Linked DNA regions of Macaca mulatta. The protein of the gene in region 2 binds, or shares a complex with, the protein of the main gene of each other region. Links are inferred from orthologs where the notes say so. Each region holds a gene or a part of one and is shown on either strand. Other genes may lie near its edges.

Region 1 (6,619 bases), on a different chromosome or scaffold from region 2:
CACTGCAGGTTCAAATCTCAGCACGTCCATTAAACTAGCTACATGACTTATTTCTGTGCTGTCTCCTCATCTGTAAAATGAGAAAAACTCCTACTTCATGGGGTTACTGTGAAGGGTAAATGAGTAAAAAAACAGGAAGAACACATTGAACATTGACAGATCTATCCTGGTAATAAAAATAAATGCTAATCGGCCGGGCACGGTGGCTCACGCCTGTAACACCAACACTTTGGGAGGCCGAGGCGGGCGGATCACAAGGTCAGGAGATCAAGACTACCCTTGCTAACACGGTGAAACCCCATCTCTACTAAAAATACAAAAAATTAGCCGGACGTGGTGGCAGGTGCCTGTAGTCCTAGCTACTCGGGAGGCTGAGGCAGGAGAACGGTGAGAACCCGGAAGGCAGAGCTTGTAGTGAGCCGAGATCAAGCCACTGCACTCCAGCCTGGGGATCAGTGCGAGACTCCATCTCAAAAAAAATAAATAAATAAAATAAACGCTAATCACTATTATTACAATTGTTAATAGTGATATTATTTTAGGCTTTGTACAAATTTCTGAGGATATAAAGTCCAACAGGCCGGGTATGGTGGCTCACGCTTGTAATCCTAGCACTTTGGGAGGCCGAAGGGGGTGCATCACTTGAGGTCAGAAGTTCAAAACCAGCCTGGCCAACATGATGAAACCCTGTCTCTACTAAAAGTACAAAAATTAGGCCAGGCGCGGTGGCTCACACCTGTAATCTCAGCGCTTTGGGAGGCTGAGGTGGGTGGATCACTTCAGGTCAGGAGTTTGACACCAGCCTGGCCAACATGATGAAATTCTCTCTCTACTAAAAATACAAAAAAAAGTAGCTAGGCGTGGTGGCACATGCCTGTAGTCCCAGCTACTCGGGAAGCTGAGGCTGGAGAATCACTTGAACCCGGGAGGCAGACGTAGCAGTGAGCCGAGATCTTGCCACTGCACTCCAGCCTGGGCAACATATGACACTCCGTCTCAAAAAATAATAAACAAACACATAAATAAAATAAAGTCTAACAAAATAAAATGTCCCTAGCCACAAGGACTCACAAAGACCACCCCCCCAAGCACTGTTTACAAAGTGCTCGCCCCATTTGTAGGAACTGTAATACCAGGCCAGTCCCACCCAGAAAGAGGGCCTTTCAGCCAGTAGTCCATACCTGTTCTCATAGATGTCCTGGATCTCATACACCTTCTGGTCAATGACATCGCTGGAGACACGACTGGCCTGTAGCTCATACACTTTCTGGTCAATCAAATCTGAGACAGTTTTGTGGAAATACTGGATGAAGTTTTTGATCACCTCAGGGATCACCTGATAGGTCTGCTGTTCATACTGACGTTCATAAGCAAGGTCCTGCTTTGGATCTCCTGGAGGTTGGATAAAACAAACACAGAGTGCTTTCAAACCCACATACATGATAGAACAAAATGGCAAGACCGCCCCAGAAACTAAACTCAGGTCTGAGTAAAATTCCCTTTTGAACACTCAGAGATACAAACATCTCAAGTCACTCCCAATCTCATTGTCCCTGTTTCTTCAAAAATATTACCACGACTTAAAGTTATTTTTCACTTATTATCTGTTTTGCACCCTTCTCCCAAGTCTAGGAAGTCGGAATCTTGTCTGTCTTGTACTCAGATGTACCCTCAGGGCCTAGAAAAGTATGAGTTAGAGGGGAGAGAGGCAAGACTGTTGGAATGTAAGTGGTAACAGGTATTTAATATTTCTTGAATGAATAACTGTCACCTTCTAAATATATGACTTGTGGCAAGTTAGTATTAAATCTCTGTGCTATATTTTCTCTTCTTTTTTTGTTTTTTTTTTTTAAAGACAGTCTCACTTTGTCCCCCAGGCTGGAGTGCAGTGGCATAATCTCCGCTCACTGCAAGTTCCCGCCTCCTGGGTTCAAGCCATTCTCCTGCCTCAGCCTCCTGAGTAGCTGAGACTACAGGCGTCTGCCACCATGTCCGGGTAATTTTTTTTTTTTTTTTGTATTTTTAGTAGAGATGGGGTTTCACCGTGTTAGCCAGGATGGTCTAGATCTCCTGACCTCGTGATCTGCTCATCTCCGCCTCCCAAAGTGCTGAGATGACAGGCGTGAGCCACCACGCCCGGCCTATTTTCTCTTTTTTAGGAGACAACAGTAATGTACAGAACCGCTGTAAGAATTAAACAAAATATTGCATACAACGTACTTAGAACAATGGATAACACTGACTACTAAGTCCAGTCACTGTAACATTTCAGGAAACCTCTCAAAAGATTTCATCTGGGCTTGGTTTGAATTAAATTTTTCACATCAAGATTTTCTTCTTTGGGCCAGGTGCAGTGGCTCACGCCTGTAATCCCAGCACTTTGGGAGGCTGGGGCGGGTGGATCACCTGAGGTCAGGAGTTTGAGACTAGTCTGGACAACATGGCGAAATCTCGTCTCTACTAAAAAAAAAGTAAAAAATTAGCCGGGAATGGTGGTGGGTGCCTGTAATCCTAGCTACTTGGGAGGCTGAGACAAGAGAACTGCTTGAATCCGGGAGGCGGAGGTTGCAATGAGCAGAGATCGCATCACTACACTCCAGCCCCGGGGAGGAAAGAGGGAGACTCCATCTCAAAAAAAAAAAAAAAAGGTTTTCTTCTTTGGCTAATAGTTTACACAAGAAAACCATAGCCCGGTAAGTAATCCTTCTCTTCCAAGACTGAGGTGGACTATGATAAAAAGCCTGGTTTATTAGGCTTTATACAACCCCACGCACCAGCAGGTAATGACTGACTCCAAACCTGGACCACCAAAGAACAATTTTTAACAGGTGCCTGTCAGAGCTGGTTCTAAGACATTCCAAAGGAACCGATCCCTACGAGTACTCAGCCAGCCTAAGCCGTGGTCTCACCTGTGTGCATATCATAGTCGCTCGGATAAGCGTAGGGGTCATAAGCCGCCTAGAAGGAAAGAGACAGTCAGGAAAGTCGCCAACTCGTGAATTCAAAACGCTCATCCTAGAGTCTAGATGCCAAGCAGAGAGCTAAGGATACAGAGGCGGATAAGACACTGTGCCTGGCCGGGCGCGGTGGCTCAAGCCTGTAATCCCAGCACTTTGGGAGGCCGAGACGGGCGGATCACGAGGTCAGGAGATCGAAACCATCCTGGCTAACACGGTGAAACCCCGTCTCTATTAAGAAATACAAAAAAACTAGCCGGGCGAGGTGGCGGGCGCCTGTAGTCCCAGCTACTCGGGAGGCTGAGGCCGGAGAATGGCGTGAACCCGGGAAGCGGAGCTTGCAGTGAGCTGAGATCCGGCCACTGCACTCCAGCCTGGGCGACAGAGCGAGACTCCGTCTCAAAAAAAAAAAAAAAAAAAAAAAGACACTGTGCCTGCCTTTGAGGAACTCACACGCCTTAGAGAAAAGCGACAGTAAACAGACAATGACAATACATTACGGGTGCAAAGGACAAGAGGCTGTGGGAATCAGCGAGATTTGACCTGACGGAGCCCACACCAAAATAACTCAGGTGCAGAAACACAGAGATGTCTAACAAGCCTTGGTCTCCGGTCTTAGCAAGGGGAAGGACAAGGGAACCGGACACGCGAAATGGGCGGGCAGAGCCAGGGTTGTCTAGGGGCCGGGAACAGAGGGAGCAGCCTGAGGGCCGCGCGGCAGGTAGGCCGGAGCTGGCCGCGGCCCAGAAGCTGCCTCGCGCCGGGACCCACATCCAGAGGTCCCACAGATCTCCCCGGCGTGAAGTTCACCGCGCGCTTAGGGCCACCTTACCTCCGACTCATAATCATCAGCAGGATACGACATGGCTACCGGGCTCACAAGCACCGCCGGAAAGACCGAAACGAGCGGCCCGCGCCTGCGTCCTGAGGCCGGAAGTTCGGCCCCCCTAGGGCCTGCCGGGAAACCGGAAGCCTTTCCGAGGCCGCTGGCCATCTGAGACAGCCATATCAAGAAGGAAGAGGTTCCGGGCTCGGTGGCTCACGCCTGTAATCTCAGCACTTTGGGAGGTCGAGGCGGGCGGATCACCTGAGGCTGAGGTCGGGGGTTCGAGACCAGCCTGACCAATGTGGAGAAACCCCGTCTCTACTAAAAATACATAATTAGCCGGGCGTGGTGGCGCATGCCTGTAATCCCACCTACTCGGGAGGCTGAAGTAGGAGAGTTGCTTGAACCCGGGAGGCGGAGGTTGCGGTGAGCCGAGATCGCGCCATTGCACTCCAGCCTGGGCAACAGGAGCGAAAACTCCGTCTAAAAATAATAATAAGAGGGTTACAAGTAGCCTGAATTTTCTTTTCTTCAAATAGAGGCTTCTCAAAGAAGGTGAATCTGTGATACTAGTGTAGATTCAGATATAAAGACACGTATTTGGGGTAAAGGAGGGGCAAAGTTACAGAAACCAGAAAGAATGCCACACAAAAGATGGCCGGCTTCTCGCGTGAAGGGAGATTCGGATACGGGGACCTGATGGATTTAGTTGTAAGCGGTTTGCCTGCAGTGAGTAAATTATTAAAACGTTCGGACTTAACAAGACTAAACTTACTGGGGATAAAAGTTGAGATTTGGCCGGGCGCGATGGCTCATGACTGTAATCTCAACACTTTGGGAGGCTGAGGCGGGTGGATCACCTGAGGTCAGGAGTTCGAGACCAGCCTGGCCAAAATGTCGTAAACCCCATCTCTAGTAAAAATACAAAAATTAGCCGAGAGTGGTAGCGTCCGCCTGTAATCCCAGCTATCCAGGAGGCTGAAGCAGGAGAATCGGTGGAACCCGAGAGGCAGAGACTGTAATGAGCCAAGATCGTGCCACTGCACTCCAGCCTGGGCGACACAGCAAGACTCAGTCTTAAAAAAAAAAAAAAAAATTGAGATTTGGTCCTATGCAGTAAGAGGGCATGGAAAACAGGAGCCACCCAACTTTGGACATTAAAGTTGGAGTAGGCAAAGACGAGGCCAGCTGTGTCGCGAAGCCTGGGACAGGGGCAGCTCTTGAGTACACCGGGTTCGAGTCTGGGGGAAACCGTCAAAGTAGAGATGGGGTTATAAAACAAACCAATAAAAACCAGTGTATGAGTCAAGGAGGGACCTTAGTTCCACCACTGATTTCTTGTGTGACCAGGACTCTCTGGGTCCCTTTGTCACGCTGCCCTCCTCGCTTTTCCCACTGAGGCACACTCCACCTCTGGGATTTTGCACTCACTGTTATCCAAGTCTAGAATCGAATGCAGCGGTGCCCCCACTCCCATTCCCTTCCCCATTGGATATCTGCGTGGCATCTTTAGGTGTCTGCTCTGATGCCATTCACTCGACCTCCTATTTAGAATTGCAATGCCCGGCCCCAACTCCCTATGCTGCGTTATTGCTTTCTGTTTCTTCCTTGCGCTGTCACCAGAGGTGATACAAATTTGGAAATAATGGAGCTTAAGCTTTACAGACCTTCGATTTGGTTCAGGACCCTCCCTGAACCAAGGAAGAATCCCAGTCTCATGTCCTCATGGTCCTTTGCTTTTGTAAAATTTGTGAAATATTTTTATTGCGGAAACCACCTTTGCAAACATTATAACAGTGAGAAAATAATGACAGTGAAAGAGATCTGATCTAACCAACCCTCATCTTCCATTTAATCTCCAGACTGCCCTTAATCATTCCTGGCTCAAACCAAGCTAACTTTGGGAGACATTTAGTTTCTAGTTTTTTTGTTTGTTTGTTTTTTGTTTTGAGACAGAGTCTGGCTTTGTCGTCCAGGCTGAAGTGCAGTGGCCACATCTTAGCTCACTGCAAGCTCCACCTCCTGGGTTCAGGCCATTCTCCTGCCTCAGCCTCCCAAGGAGCTGGGACTACAGGCACCCGCCACCACGCCCGGCTAATTTTTTTTTGTATTTTTAGTAGAGCTGGGGTTTCACCGTATTCGCCAGGATGGTCTTGATCTCCTGACCTCATGATCCACCCATCTCAGCCTCCCAAAGTGCTGGGATTACAGGCATGAGCCACCGCGCCCAGCCAGTTTCTAGTTTAAATGATAACAACCAGTGGCTGGGCGCCGTGGCTCACGCCTGTAATCCCAGCACTTTGGGAGGCCGAGGCGGGCGGATCACGAGGTCAAGAGTTTGAGACCAGCCTGACCAATATAGTGAAACCTCGCCTCTACTAAAAAAAAAAAAATACAAAAATTAGCTGGGCCTAGTGGCACGCGCCTGTAATCCCAGCTATTTGGGAGGCTGGGGCAGGAGAATCGCTTGATCCCGGGAGGTGGAGGTTGTAGTGAGCCGAGATCACACCACTGCATTCCAGCCTGGGCAACACGGCGAGACTCCGTCTCAAAAAATAAATACATACATAAAATAAATAAATGATAATAACCTTTCTCCAAGACCTGGTACCGTGGCTCACACCTGTAATCCCAGCACTTTGGGAGGCCAAGGCAGATGGATCACCTGAGGTCGGGAGTTTGAGACCAGCCTGGCCAACATAGTGAAATCTCATCTCTACTAAAAATACAAAATTAGCTGGGCATGGTGGCATATGCCTGTAGTCCCAGCTATGGGCTGAGGCAGGAGAATCACTTGAACCCAGGAGGTGGAGGTTCTAGTGAGCTGAGGTCGCAC
Region 2 (5,917 bases):
GTTGCCCAGGCTGGAGTGCAGTGGCGCGATCTCGGCTCACTGCAAGCTCCGCCTCCCGGGTTCCCGCCATTCTCCTGCCTCAGCCTCCTGAGTAGCTGGGACTACAGGCGCCCGCCACCGCGCCCAGCTAATTTTTTGTAGTTTTAGTAGAGACGGGGTTTCACTGTGGTCTCGATCTCCTGACCTTGTGATCCGCCCGCCTCGGCCTCCCAAAGTGCTGGGATTACAGGCTTGAGCCACCGCGCCCGGCCAAACATCACATTCTTAATTAGCCTTCTCTGACACTGAGGCAAAACTAAATTGGTTTCTCCCTTTAAATAGAACTCCTTAAGAAGTAGGACTTTGTCTTGTTCCTCTTTTATTCTAGTGCCCAGTACAAGATCTGACTGGCAATGTTTGCAAGAAAAAGGAGAAAAGGAGAGGTTATCACTGCTCCAAAGTGGCTGTCACCCTACTAACCAGGGCTGCCCACCCAGACTCCCAGAGGGCATACCTGGGGCTGGAAACTTACTCCCTGCCTTTCTGCAGATGCCCGTGTGAAGTGAGGGCTCGGACGCACTCCCTGTGGTCTTGGCTCAGCCAGCCAAAAGAGCAACAAAGACTCCGGAACCCACTCTACATCCTCAATCCCTTGGCCATCTGTGGAGCCCCAGAGCCTGCGGCTGGGCAAGGTGAGCCCCACACCTTCTCCACGGGGGATTATCCCTCCGCTCAGCGTCCTGACCTGTGTTCCTCCTCCTCGGGCCTGTTTCTTCGCTGGACCCACTCACCTGAGCCTGCAGAAGCCGCATGGGGGAAGAGCGTGGCAAACAGTGACAGGAAGGGAGAAGACAGAAGCCTCTCAGCCAACTACTTCAGCCCCCACCCTAAGCACTGGCTCCTTGGACAGCAACCGAGACATTCCTGAAACCTCTGCAGGCCCCTTAGGACCTTTACACCTTGGAAGAGGATGCCTGCAACCCAGGCTGGCCAAAAGTACGGACGGTCTTAAGTTTGAGGTGTCCAAAGTATAGGGAGGTCTAAATAATAAAAGTCTCCATGATCGGCATCCCCTTGCTGGGGTGTCAGTGAAAAGGAAAGATGATAAAACAGACCCCACAAAATATCTGACCAGAAGCCATTTATTACCAAACCAATTTATTTCTTAGAGTTCAAAACCTTCTGTGAGAATCTTCTCTGGCCCGGATAGAGATCCAGCTTATTATTATTATTATTTTTTTGAGACGGAGTTTCGCTCTTGTTGCCCAGGCTGGAGTGCAATGACACGATCTCAGCTCACTGCAACCTCCGCCTCCTGGGTTCAAGTGATTCTCCTGCCTCAGCCTCCTGAGTAGCTGGGACTATAGGTGCGTGCCACCACGCCCTGCTAATTTTTATATTTTTAGTAGAGATGGGGTTTCTTCATGTTGGTCAGGCTGGTCCCAAACTCCTGACCTCAGGTGATCCGCCCACCTTGACCTCCCAAAGTGGTGAGATTACAGGCATGAACCACCACGCCCGGCCGGAGATCCAGCTTCTCAAGCCTCAAACTCGAATTCGAAGTACTGTGGGTCGAAGTAATGGATACGGACGTAACCATCTTCACCGCCGCTGCTGTAGCTGGAAAAAGATAGCCAGGCACCAGTCAGGTGCCTACTCTAGGAGAGGCAGAGACCCAACCCAGGCTTAGCTCAGCTGCTTCACTGGGACCCTACCTCTTGCCATCAGGATGGAAAGCAACACTGTTGATAGGTCCAAAGTGACCCTTGACTCTTCCAAACTCTTCTTCAAAGGCCAAATGGAAGAACCTGGAGGAAAAGGGACACAATTAATTCACTTTCCATTTCCTTCCAAAACATTTTGAAGGTGGCGCTCCCCAAATGCAAATTGTTATATTTATTTATTTATTTATTTTGAGACGGAGTCTCGCTCTGTCGCCCAGGCTGAAGTGCAGTGGTGCGATCTCAGCTCACCGCAAGCTCTGCCTCCCAGGTTCACGCCATTCTGCTACCTCAGCCTCCTAAGTAGCTGGGATACAGGTGCCTGCCACCATGCCCGGCTAACTTTTTTGTATTTTTAGTAGAGATGGGGTTTCACTGTGTTAGCCAGGATGGTCTTGATCTCCTGTTCTCCTGATCTGCCCGTCTCAGTCTCCCAAAGTGCTGGGATTACAGGTGTGAGCCACCGCACCCGGCCCCATTTATTTATTTTGAGATGGAGTCTTACTCTGTCACCCAGGGTGGAATACAGTGGCGCAATCTCGGTTCACTGGAACCTCCACCTCCTGGGTTCAAGCAATTCTCCTGCCTCAGCCTCCCGAGTGGCTGGGATGATAGACGCCCGGCTAATTTTTGTATTTTAGTAGAGATGGGGTTTCACTGTGTTGGCCAGGCTGGTCACGAACTCGGCTTCTGCTTTATTTTTTGTGATATAATTTGCATTTGAGGCCAGGCGTGGCGGCTCATGCCTGTAATCCCAGCACATTGGGAGGCCGAGGAAGGCAGATCGCTTGAGGCCAGGAGTTTGAGACCAGCCTTGCCAACATCTCTACTAAAAATACAAAAAGCAGCCAGGCACGGTGGTGTGCACCTGTAATCTGAGCTACTCAGAGGCTTAGCGGGAGGATTGCTTGAGCCCAGGAGGTTGCAGTGAGCAGAAATGGTGCCACTGCACTCCAGCCTAGGCAACAGAGTGAGACCCTGTCTCAAAAAATAATAATAAAGCAGAAAAATTGAGATAATAAGTGAATGTGAACAAAATAAGATGAAGTTGGGGGCTGTGGTTCACGCCTGTAATCCCAGTACTTTGGGAGGCTGAGGGCAGAGGATCACTTGCGCCCAGGAGTTCGAGGCCAGCCTGGGCAACATAGTGAGACCCTGTATCTTTATTTTTTAACTTTTTTATTATAAGAGGAAGACCGGACCCAGAAGTCTGCCTAAATTCATAGCTAATACTTATAGAGTGCCTACTACGTGCTGGGCAGTGCTTAAAGAGCTTAATAAATATTAACTGAATAATTTAATCTGCATAATTTTATGGTAAGTATATTGTCACTGTCTCATTATACAATAGAGGAAATATGGGCATAGAGAAATATAATGAAGGCCGGGCACAGTGGCTCATGCCTGTAATCCCAACACTTTGGGAGGCCAAGGTGGGCAGATTACTTAAGGCCAGGAGTTCATTCAAGACCAGCCTGGCCAACATGGTGAAACCCTGTCTCTTCTAAAAATACAAAAATTAGCCAGGTGTGTTGGTGGGTGCCTGTAATCCCAGCTACCCGGGAGGCAGAGGCAGGAGAATCGCCTGAACCTAGGAGGCAGAGATCACACCATTGCACTCCAGTCTGGGTGACAGAGCAAGACTCCGTCTCGGGGAAAAAAAAAAAAGGTGCACCCCATGAGATTTCAATTTGGAAGAGCTCTCTTCCTCTTTACCTGGCCTCAAACTTGCCAATCCTGGTGGAGGTTGTGGTTACATCCATGGCTTCCTGACCACCGCCCAGGACCACCTGAATGGAAGAAGAAACTCTAGATGGGCCCGATGGACACCAAGTCTATTTTCTGTTTTTCTCCTGCCATATACATTTTTCACATCTCACACAGCTCAATGGGAGGATACCAAAGGTAGGGGATGATCAGACACTTCTGCCACCTCCTGCCCGCTTCCCTGGGGCTATTCATCCTTCCAGCTTTGTCACTCCTCTGGGAATCTCCTCTTTGCCTGACATCATTTCCCCCACAATGTTGTAGCCCAACTTCTGGACAAGCATCTAGAACTTGGAAGCTTCCTGAGGCTTTAGCAGGAAGGCTGGATGGGGTTCTCTTACATGGTCATAGTTGGGGGAGAGAGCAGCTGAGTTGACGGGACGTTCTGTCCGGAAAGTCTTCTGATGTTCAAGAGTTGTGGAGTCAAAAAGCTGGAGAGAGAAGGCAAGGGGGATATCTGTAGAAAGAGCCTTCCTGGGGGAAGTCGGGCAGGGTGAGCTGTGCAGCAGGAGGGAGGCAGCAGCCCTGCCAGACCCCTGCCCAGGCTCACCTTGGCTGTGTTGTCCTTGGATGCGGTCACAAACATGGTCATGTCCCTGGATAACTGGATGTCATTGATCTGCCGGGAGTGCTCCTTAACATTCACCAACACCTCTCCAGACTGGGGAAGGAGGAAGAATGAGACTGACTGGGCCCAATCCCTACTAATCTCAGTTCCCCAGAAACCTAAGCACCCAAATGAGAAAGCTGAGATAGCATGGACTTTGTGTTTTCCTCACCCCCTCTATCTAATCAGTCACCCCTAAATATCCCTTGACTCTGTCCAGTAATGTACATCCTATGCCTGATGGCTAGTTCAGGTCCATTCTCCAAACATAACCTGCAAGCGCTGTTGGAAGGAAAATCTGGCCATAGATAACCCTTTCAAGATTCCCTACTGCCTGGAGGAAAATCAAAACTCTTTATCTCCTCACACTTAAGGACGTTTAAAATCTATTCCCTGTCCTCTGTCCCCAAGACTGCATCCCAATGGTTCCTGAAGACTCCATACTTTCTTAACTCTGTGCCTTTGCTTTTGCTGTTCCTTTTGCCTGTGGGATGTTCTTTCCTTCCTGCTTGAAGCTCCATTTATTCTCCAGGGTTTAATGTACACACCACCTCCCTGGGACAGTGCACCTTCCACACCTGGTTGAGACTTCTACGGTGGCACAGTTCACAATCTGACTCAGGTGCTAGCTGTTTGCAAGTCCCTTCCAAGGGGGAAGGGACTGTGTCTGATTTACTTCTTTGTTCTAGGAACTCAGCACAGGGCATTATACTCTGGTGGCAGGGAACTGCTCATTTGTGATCCTTAATTTTTTTTTTTTTTTTTGAGACAGGGTCTTGTTCTATCACCCAGGCTGGAGTACAGTGGCACAGTCATGGCTCACTGCAGCCTCAATCTCCCAGACTCAAGCAATCTTTCAGCCTCAACATCTTGAGTACCTGGGACCAGAGGCACGCTCCACCACACCCAGCTAATTTTTAATTTTCTTTTTTTTTTAGAGATAGGGTTTTCCTGTATTGCCCAAGCTGATCTCAATCCCTGGGGCTCAAGCAATCCTCCTGCTCCAGTCTCCCAAAGTGTTGGGATTCCAGGTGTGAGTCACCGCACCCGGCCTGTGATCCTTATTAACATGTCCTGAGTACTTTGTGACAAGTTTTTCAAACATGTGATATCATTTGATCCTTGAAACATTTTACAGATAAACAGGGTCAGAGAAGTTATGTAACTTGCCCAAGATCACACAGCTAAAAAGTAGTGAAATCTACATTTCAATCTCACCTCTGCTCTTTTTAAAATTTTTTATTAATTTTTTCTTAATTTATTAGAAAATCCCAGCACTTTGAGAGGTTGAGGCGGGTCAACCTCCCAAAGTGCTGGGTCTCACTGTCACCCAGGCTGGAGTGTAGTGGTATGATCACAACTCACTATAGCCCCAACCCCTGGGCTCAAGAGATCCTCCTGTCTTGGCCCCCAAAGGCACTGGGATTACAGATGTGAGCCACAGCATACAGCTCCGCCCTTGCTCTGAACTACTGTGCTATCACCAGTGCCTGAGGCAGGTGGATCATCTGAGGTCAGGAGGTCAGGGGTTTGAGACCAGCCTGGCCACCATGGTGAAACCCCATCTCTACTAAAAATACAAAAATTACCCAGGCGTGGTGGTGGGTGCCTATATTCCCAGCTACTTGAGAGGCTGAGGCAAGAGAATGGCTTGAATCCAGGAGGCAGAGGTTGCAGTGAGCCAAGATCGTATCACTGTACTCCAGCCTGGGCAACAGGGTGAGACTCTGTCTCAAAGAAAAAAAAAATACAGGTGTGGTGGCTCATGCCTGTAATCCCAGCACTTTGGGAGGCGAAGGTGGGCGGACTGCCTGAGGTCAGGAGTTCGTGACCAGTCTGGCCA

What was found. The genes of interacting proteins can lie anywhere in the genome.
Region 1: EIF3I (region 2) and EIF3L share a complex: the UniProt entries of both Homo sapiens proteins name them as parts of the eukaryotic translation initiation factor 3 (eIF-3) complex. The link is inferred for Macaca mulatta from reciprocal best matches to the Homo sapiens genes EIF3I and EIF3L.

What each region holds. Positions count from the first base shown.
Region 1 is NC_133415.1:13,662,486-13,669,104, forward strand, and holds the start of EIF3L (eukaryotic translation initiation factor 3 subunit L), read right to left. Parts: upstream 3,854-6,619; 5' UTR 3,823-3,853; coding exon 3,790-3,822; exon of another isoform or gene 3,768-3,789; intron 3,098-3,767; exon of another isoform or gene 2,959-3,097; coding exon 2,910-2,958; intron 1,474-2,909; exon of another isoform or gene 1,442-1,473; coding exon of another isoform or gene 1,393-1,441; coding exon 1,182-1,392; intron 1-1,181. UniProt on the Homo sapiens protein: Component of the eukaryotic translation initiation factor 3 (eIF-3) complex, which is required for several steps in the initiation of protein synthesis.
Region 2 is NC_133406.1:208,650,615-208,656,531, forward strand, and holds the end of EIF3I (eukaryotic translation initiation factor 3 subunit I), read right to left. Parts: intron 4,129-5,917; coding exon 4,018-4,128; intron 3,899-4,017; coding exon 3,809-3,898; intron 3,491-3,808; coding exon 3,417-3,490; intron 3,002-3,416; exon of another isoform or gene 1,788-3,001; coding exon 1,695-1,787; exon of another isoform or gene 1,600-1,694; coding exon 1,518-1,599; 3' UTR 1,108-1,517; downstream 1-1,107. UniProt on the Homo sapiens protein: Component of the eukaryotic translation initiation factor 3 (eIF-3) complex, which is required for several steps in the initiation of protein synthesis.